2 separate regions of the Mus musculus genome follow, and region 2 is reported to be linked to region 1. Evidence: microRNA targets listed by miRTarBase, many of them from high-throughput screens and not tested one by one. Region 1 holds a microRNA gene; the other region holds the end of a gene's coding sequence.
The links. Region 1 holds the annotated microRNA mmu-miR-149-5p (UCUGGCUCCGUGUCUUCACUCCC, at 2,724-2,746, shown strand). A microRNA usually pairs through its seed, bases 2 to 8, with sites in the 3' UTR of a target mRNA and lowers its output. Matches are read on the target gene's strand: a 7mer-m8 pairs with bases 2 to 8, a 7mer-A1 pairs with bases 2 to 7 and ends in A, and an 8mer does both.

Region 1 (4,284 bases):
TCTGGGCTGGGGCTAGCCCAGAGGCAGAGATTTGATCCACAAGTCCTTTGAAATGCCAGCACGGTGGGGGGGGGGGGGGGTCCGCAGCTGCCTACTGTTTCCAGGGACACGGGGGGTGGGGGGGGGCGGTGCTGAATGTGCCAGTGAAGGTTGCGGGAGGAGGTGCGTCCCAGGAAGCTGCCTTCAGCCTTGTGCATCAGTGAGACTGCCACTGCCCTGCTGCCCTAGGTTGTGGGATCCACCACACCACGCCGAGACCCCTAGCCTCATCTTGGCCTTTCCTGCTGAGTTCTGCTGCTCTGCAATTGCCAGACCACTTCACTGGCGCTGGAATCGCCCTTGCTATCCGGAGTGCATCCACAGCTGGGGACACTATTGGAGCGGCCATGGAGAAGGGGGTTCTAAGGCCAGGAGGGTGTCCGCTAAGCTACCAGGCTACGTCTGCTAGGCACCATCTCTATCACCATTCCTGTCTGCATCCCCCCTCCTCCATGCATTCACCTCTCATCTTCAGTTCCATTCTCTCGCAGCTGTACCCCCACTACAGCCTATCTCTGTCTCATCCCCTTCCCATCAAGAGCTTGGTCATCAGCCCTGATGTCCACTCATGTCTCTCAGCTCCCACCTCCATCCCATCCCCATCTCCCTAAAGTTGTGCTGCACCATCCTAGATATTCCTCTCTACCCCATCCCTCCCCCTGCACCCCTCAGGCTGCCGCAGCCCCCTTTCCGCAGTAAGTCCCCCTTCCTCTACTGAACCCATCCCCCCTTTCACCCCGCCCCCGCCGCCACAGCCATGGCGCTCGCTTTTCTCCCTCCTTTTTCTGCCGCCGCGCCCACTGCGGCAAGCCCCTTCCCCGCCAATCACATCGCCCTCTCTCCTCTCCCTCCATCTCCCGCTTTCCGCAGCCCCCCTCCAAATGCCCCCCTCTGCCTGCCGCAGCACTCAGCTCTCCGCACCAGCCGCGCCCACTGCACCAGCGCCCCCTCCTCACTGCGGCGCCAGAGCAGGCGCCTGCATCTGCAGCTCCGGCTTATCTTACCGGCTCCAGCTGTACAGAACCATCCCCGTTGCAGAGGAGGCAGCGGTCGGTCGGAGCTGCAGGTGTCGCCCAGGCTTTGTTCGCCCAGGGCCTGGCCTGATGCTGGAGAGGCAGCTGGCAGGAGCCCTTGCCTGCCCGGAGATGACCCCTCCCATCGAGTCCATAGAAGTGCCAGCAGCCGATGCCCCCCAGTTAGGGGGTCCCTGTTCGTGATGGAGGTTCTTCTTGGTGATGTTGCCATTTGGGTGAACCGGAGGCAGGGGCTCGGGAATCATGAAGGCATCCAGGAGGGTGGAAAAGTATTGGGAGTGAGGTGGGGGCGGGGAGGGGATTGTGCTTGATGCTTTTCCAATTTCAGAGATGGAGTTGAAATGTCTTCCTTCGGGTGTGACCCCCGGGGACTAGACAGGTTTGTTGGGGAACAGGAGCAAGCAATGGGAAAATGCCCCTGGAGCCTGGGCAGTGAGTAGTCCCCCAGAAAGCTGGGCCATTTGCTCCAGGCTGTCACGTCCTGGAGACTCTCAGCCTCTGGGGCTGGAAAACCCAGGAGCACAGAGGGCTGGTTTACTTCTAACCTACCAGTCAACAGAAAGGCCTGCTCTAGGAGCCAGCAGCTGGGGAGGGGAGTGTAGCCTGTGCCTCTCCCTTATCTGCGGTGCTGAGAGATTATACTCCGAATGCCCCTACACTCCCCCAAGCCGTGCCAGCTGGAGTGTTTTAGGGGCCGTGAGGGAAGTGGGCTTTCCACTCTGCATCTCCCCCGTGAGCACAGGAAGCTTCTAGAAGAATGGACCAGAGGCGGGGTAGCATGACTCTGCATTATCTTCAGAAGGTGGAGGGTTTCAAGGCATTGGGTCCCTGAAGTGTCAGGGGAGGTCAGGTCAGAGATGTCTGTGGGTAGCATCAGGATGCTGGACTCTGCTAAAGTCCTGGGGTGACTGTGGATGATGACCAAGAGGGATGCTGCCTCTGTGAGGGAGGAGCAGGAGCTGGAGCTGTCAGCAGGTGGCAGGAGGGTGTGACCCTGAAAGGTAGGAAGCCACAAGCTGCTGTCTGCTCTGGAGAATAGTGGGGGGCCGGGGGTGGGGTGCAAGCAGCCAGATTTGGGAGGAGGTAAATGAGCAGTTGCTGCCCATGGGTTTGCTGCAATGGGGTGCCATGCTAAGTGTCACAAGAAGCAGGGGTCTTGGAATTTGAGAGGCTTTGGGGTTGGGGACAAGGCTTAGAAAAGGGACTAAAGTGGGGAAAACCTGCCATTAACAAACAACCCCCTTCCCCAAATAAAACCTGTGAGTGCCAGGGGAGGGTAGTGCCCCCCAAAAACCCAGGAGGGAAAGATCTGGAAAAATGAAACCAACTCTGAGAGAGATGGGCGGGGTCAGTGGGGAACAATACTGCCGCTCCACTCCCACCCACCTTCAGGGCTGGCAAGGAGGAAGCTGCTGGTAGGGTAGAACGGAGAGACGTTCCTACGATGGGTATGTACTCCAGTGCTTTCCTGGAAGTGTAGAGAGCTTTGCAGAGCCTGCCTTAGCTGTTCTGATGTTGAGCACCTATGGTTCCAGTTGGGCTGGGTCTCAGCTCCTCTATCTTTGACCCTCAGCAAGCAGGTCTGCCAATGCATGGGCTTCTGGGCAGCCTGACCCAGCCTGCCCGGGGCCCTCAGGCCAGTGCCCAGGCTCTGGCTCCGTGTCTTCACTCCCGTGTTTGTCCGAGGAGGGAGGGAGGGACGGGGGCGGTGCTGGGGCAACTGGAACAGCGCAGGTCACCGGGCTGGCTGGGTGAGGTGGCCAGGCAGAGCCAGGGGGCTGCAGGGGAGGCCATTGGATGGGGTATGCTCATAGTAGCTGGCCAAAAGTCTCATGGGTCCCATTTATCCAGAACCTGCCGTGGAGTGGGGCGAGTTTCTGTTTCTGAGTGTGTGTCCTTAATTAACTTCTTCCTGTTTCAGCTTCGTTCTTCTGTCTATGTGGTGAGGGGTGGCAATTGGGACCACTAAGATGGAGAAGGATGTCAGAGGAGCAGAAACCATGGGAGGGGCCAGTAAGGCTGTGCCCACCTCTCTCTTGCCAGTGCTCTGTTGTGCAGCCTGGTCCTCAATATTTCCACCTAAAACCTTTGGCCTACACACACAGAGTGCCTCTGTCCCAGCTGAGCCCAGGATGGCCCCATCCTGATACCTGCAGCCTCCATCCCCATAGCTGTTTCCCCACTCACTGCTGAAGTCAGAGATGGGTCATCCTCTACAGTGCCCCCCATGATTCCTCCTCTAACAGAAAAACCCTTAAACCCCACCACTCAAAGAGAGAGATGTGGCATATCACCTCAGCCCAGCAGACCATGGCCCGGAGCAGAGCAAATAGAAGGCCCTGCTGGGCCCTGTACCTTGTTGTGCCTGTAGCCTGCTTGCGGGTGGATAATCTCTGCTTAGCCCTCCCTACTCTAGAAGGAAGGGAATCAATCAATGGATGCAGATCAAGTGGCAGGACCTAGGCTTGCAGCTCCCAGCTGTCTGGGCACCAACCCAGCCCTTTCTTGAGGTTGGGTGCTTAATAACATGTTGCTTCCCAGGACCTGCAGTCCCTGTGAAAGGCAGGTGCCCTGGGCAGGAGGAAGCAGTGTGGTAGGAGCAGAGGGTACCAGGTAGGGGAGTGGTGGGAGGGGCATTCCGTGTGCACCTCCCATCTCTGACTCCCTTTTCTCTTGACTCCCCCAAGCACCCTTGAATCAGAATACAATTCCTTCTGTTCTTCTACCAGCTGTCAGCCACTGCCCTGCTCTGTGGACCTTTGGGGACCCTGAAACCAGGTGGGACTCAGCCTGTGAGGCCAAAAGTCCCCAGGGTTCTGGGATGAAGCACAGCTCCCATGCCTTAGTAAGCAGGAGAAGGGCTAGGCCAGGCCCTCAACCTGAGACCTGGAAGAGCAGATCTGAAGGTTGCCCTACCTAGGGATGGAGGGGTGGCATCTGGGGATATATACCTTCCATGTCAGGTCAAAATCACAGAGGCTGTACACAGTTCCACTCTGCAATATGCACACACACACACACACACACACACACACACACACACACACCATCCAGCACACATAAATGCTTGTGCTTACTAAGTGCTAAAGACAAGGATGTGATCATGTAACAAGCTCTTAAGGGTGAATGCAACCTCAGAATCTCTCCTTAGTCAGAGATCTCCACTCCCAGTTGGCTTCAGGGGAGGGGGGTTCATAGAAATGGGGCCTAA
Region 2 (4,141 bases), not on the chromosome of region 1:
GCTGACCGGTTCCTGGCCATTGTGCACCCTGTCAAGTCCCTCAAGCTTCGAAGACCTCTCTATGCTCACCTGGCCTGCGCCTTCCTGTGGATCGTGGTGGCTGTGGCTATGGCCCCACTGCTAGTCAGCCCACAGACAGTGCAGACCAACCACACAGTTGTCTGCCTGCAACTGTACCGGGAGAAGGCCTCCCATCACGCCCTGGCATCCCTGGCTGTGGCTTTTACCTTCCCATTCATCACCACGGTCACCTGCTACCTGCTGATCATTCGCAGCCTGCGCCAGGGTCCCCGGATAGAGAAGCACCTCAAGAATAAAGCCGTCCGCATGATTGCTATGGTTCTGGCCATCTTCCTGATTTGTTTTGTGCCCTACCACATCCACCGTTCAGTCTATGTGCTTCACTACCGTGGTGGTGGGACTTCGTGCGCTGCTCAGCGTGCCCTGGCCCTGGGGAACCGGATCACCTCCTGCCTCACCAGCCTCAACGGGGCCCTGGATCCTGTCATGTACTTCTTTGTGGCTGAGAAGTTCCGCCACGCCTTGTGCAACTTGCTCTGCAGCAAACGGCTCACAGGTCCACCTCCCAGCTTCGAAGGGAAAACCAACGAGAGCTCCCTGAGTGCCCGATCCGAGCTGTGAGCCTCTGGGAGGTCCTACACCAGGCCAGCTGTAGACTGGTGCAGGAAGACCAGCTATCAACTGGGGCACATGCTACCAGAGCCAGCTAAAGAAGTCTATCTTCCTTCACTATTCCTGAGCAAACAAACGGAAACATCGGGAGTTCTCACCCTGCTTCAAGGCCTCAACTGCAAGGCCATCCAGTCTCAGCGAATCCATCAAGAGGCAGGACTAACCACAGGGATGCCCTGCCCACCCCTCCACAGGACTGGGTTGGCCTGGCTTCTGTACAGCTCCCAGACACTCAGTGACTTCACTCGTGCTAAATAGGGAAGAGAGCCACAGGGACATTTCTGGAACAATGGGAATCTTTCTTCTCTAATAAATTTCTAGCTTCTTTCATACTACAGATGCCCACAGAAACAAAGCCCTACAGAATAACCCAGAAAGCAAGCTGCCCAAGGTCCGGGAGAAGAGGCAGCACAAATGTCAATGGAACTAGATGGATATTTAATATTTCCTTTGAAGTGTATGGTATATCGAATATTGCTTAAGATGCCTTTGCCTCATAATCTCTGCCTGAGTTTAGGGGACACAGACTCTAGTGATAGCTACATGTGAGTATAATTCAGACTGGTTGCTTGTGAACCCAGCGAATATAGTTCTGGGCTCAGCTCCTCCTGTTGACAGAGGGGGCAAAGACCCAGACAGGAAGGTTAGTCTCGTGAGAAGCTGGAGGGTCTCTGGAAGTCAGCACGCCATGTCCCCACACCAGCCTCAAGCCTGGCACTGTTCAGAGCTTGTCATTAGAATGTGGCCTAGTCAGGCATATGGCATGGACGGACAGACATTAGAGCCCAGGCAGAGAGCCTGATGCGAGAACTTGTCTCCAACTGCGCCCAGAAGGGACATCCTGAGCCCCACTCCCTCCCAAGAGGCTTCTGCCACCCTGGCTGCCTGGCTCTGAGCTGTTGAATGTGCCAGCATGTGGTGACCGCTCTAATGTACTTGATAGCAATACTCTTAAACATAACTGAGTCTTAAGATGAAGGAAATTATCATGCTGGTCCAACATGACACATGATGTTCTCCCCCTGAAATCCTCGTCCTTTCCACCCAAGAATGACCAAGTAGGGCAACATCTTCCTGGTTGTGGTTCTGGTGGCCTTGTGACATGTCTGTCCAGGCATGTGCGTTAAGGGAGCTCTCAAACGGATCCCTCCAGCTGCATCCTGCCTTTCACCAGAGAAACCCTAAGATGGCCCTGATGCTCAGCACTGCTTCTATCTGGTGCTGATCTGTCCACCCCCATGGCCACAACAACCTGCGGAGTACAAGACTGTGCCAGCCAGGACCAGCACGGGACCATGTGTCTCTTCGACAGAAGAGCAAAGGGACAAGAGTACCGCAGTCTGTGACAGGAGGGACAGAGGGGGCAAAGACCCAGACAGGAAGGACAGTCTCCTGGGAAACTGGAGGGTCTCTGGAAATTAGCACTGCCTTTCCTGACACAGGGGTTCAGAAGCAGACTTGGGTCAGAGGAGGAGAAATTTGCAGCTCGATTTGGGACCTGTTACATTAGAATCTTAAACAGAGATGCCACACTGGTAGGAGACTTGAGCAAAGGAGAGATCTGGAGGGGATACCTGGATTGTCCAGATGTATCATTGAGAGGCCCAAGACTTCATCCTCAAAGGCTGACATGGATATGGGGCCCAAAGAACATCTCTGTGCCAAGGAAGAAGCTGAGGGAAGCTAGCACAACACAGAAATCTCACTGAAAGAGGAGGGCTCTGCTGTGAGGGCACTCGGAGGTCAAGGGGAGGACCTGGTGATACCCAGGCTTGACCTGAGTCGTTGAGAAGCTGTGCTGGGGAGGGCTTCGGGGCACAAAGGCGTTGCTGGGTGCTCCCCCCAAAGCTTTCCCACCCAGGAGGGAGATAAGCTCACGGCTGCTGGGGAGGTATAGAGCCCACAGTGAGGGAGGCAGGGGTAAGAAGAAAGAGTAAGGCCTTCTGGAAGGGGAACTGGCAGAGTACCAGTGAGGCTTACAGTCCTGAATTTGGAGTAAATTGGGCAACCTGGTCCAGCCATGTGAATGCTGGGAGGAAGGCAGACAGATGGGGTCAGCGTGGTGCAGCAGTGGTGGGTGGGATGTCATGAGTAATTGGGATTCGCCAACTTAAAACTCCTCATCTATTCATTGCCACTTAAAGCCCTTCAAGCCTTCTGTCCCCCAAAGACCACCCTATGCCCAGAGGGAGCTGTCTGTCCTTACTCTCCTGCCTCCACCCTTATCCATCCCCTGGGGGCTGTGTTCTCCATCTAGCAGGGGTAGGACAAAGCCCACAACCAGATCAGTTGAGATGCCACAGAGCCTACTGGGCAGGACCACAGCTCTTAGAGTAGGGACAAGGGGTCCTCCTCTCTGCCCATGACTGCAGCTGGCTCACCTGCCTGCGTTCTTCACAAAGCCCAGGTCAGCCAGCTCCACATCACACAATTCACAGCGGAAGCAGCCAGGATGCCAGTTGGCGTTCATGGCCTTGATCACGCGGCCAATGACAAATTCACCTGCAAGAGGAGAGACCTCAGCTGTCAGGGCGCACACCCCACCCTTCAGCTCCCACGGTCTTTGTAACCAGTGTTCTTCCGGGTCCACCCTTGTCCAAGTACCCCTCTTTTAGGGGCCTGAAGACAATGCTCAGGAAGCCAGGAAAAGTCCCCAGGCTAAGGAACTTCAGTACTGGCTGTTACCCCACTTGTCCCCGTCCTGCTTGCTAAGTGCTGTCACCAGCTCTTACCACAGAATCCGCAGCATGGAGCAAATAGCATTTGGAAGTCATGTTCACAGTACTTCCGGCCCTCAAACTGCAAATGGGGGCCACAGAAGAAAAGATACATGAGTCATTCAACTTCTCTGTAAGTCTTGGCCCCCCAATAAATAGCAGGGGTCTGAGGTCCTGAGAAGGGGGGCTTCCAAAGCTGTAGTGGGGGTCTAGCCCATGTGACTTAGCAGAGTGCAAAGTGGGGGGTTCACAGAGATACTGAGGGTCCGAGACAGCTTTTGGGGATTCTGCTGTCTGCTGAGGGAGAGGGGACCTGTGGATCCTGACAACAGGCCACGCAGAGGTGGGAGCCGGGGCTGGGAAAGGATGGGTCAAATCTTGAGTTATCTGACTGGCTTTGTCCTCTGTGTCTGACCAGCTCAGTCCCTCCAGAGACTACAAAAGACCCAAAGAGGGAAGACGGAAGACAGAATTCCTCAGGGAGGGGAATTGGGAGTGACAGCAGCGCTTCAGTCAGCCACCATCTGAAGCTTGCTTTTCCCTCCCTTAAAGATTTGCTTTCTTAAGCAAAGTCTGGGCGGTAGCTCAGTTTGTAGAGTGCTTGCCTACCATTCACAGAAGTCCTGGTTGGGTTCACAGAACTGTGTGAATAGGGTACAGCAGTGCACATCTGTAACCTCAGCACCGGAGGATGGAGGCAGGATGCGCCGGAAGTTCGTCATCTTTGATAA

Region 2: the mRNA of Gpr17 is a reported target of mmu-miR-149-5p. Seed matches in the 3' UTR shown: 7mer-m8 at 721-727.

What each region holds. Positions count from the first base shown.
Region 1 is chr1:92,847,658-92,851,941 of GRCm38, forward strand. Mir149 (microRNA 149) reads left to right here and starts at 2,721; the gene lies at 2,721-2,786. All of the region lies in intron 1 of Gpc1 (glypican 1), which reads left to right. Gm29480 (predicted gene 29480) reads right to left here and starts at 1,140. Exons shown (of 4, transcript NR_166170.1): 1 at 1,044-1,140.
Region 2 is chr18:31,943,490-31,947,630 of GRCm38, reverse strand. Gpr17 (G protein-coupled receptor 17) reads left to right here. Exons shown (of 2, transcript NM_001025381.2): 2 at 1-4,141. The coding sequence ends at 642. It overlaps Lims2 (LIM and senescent cell antigen like domains 2), which reads right to left. Exons shown (of 10, transcript NM_144862.4): 3 at 3,426-3,492; 4 at 3,075-3,195. Among named protein-coding and RNA genes, the nearest start is that of Gpr17, 4.1 kb to the left of the region's middle.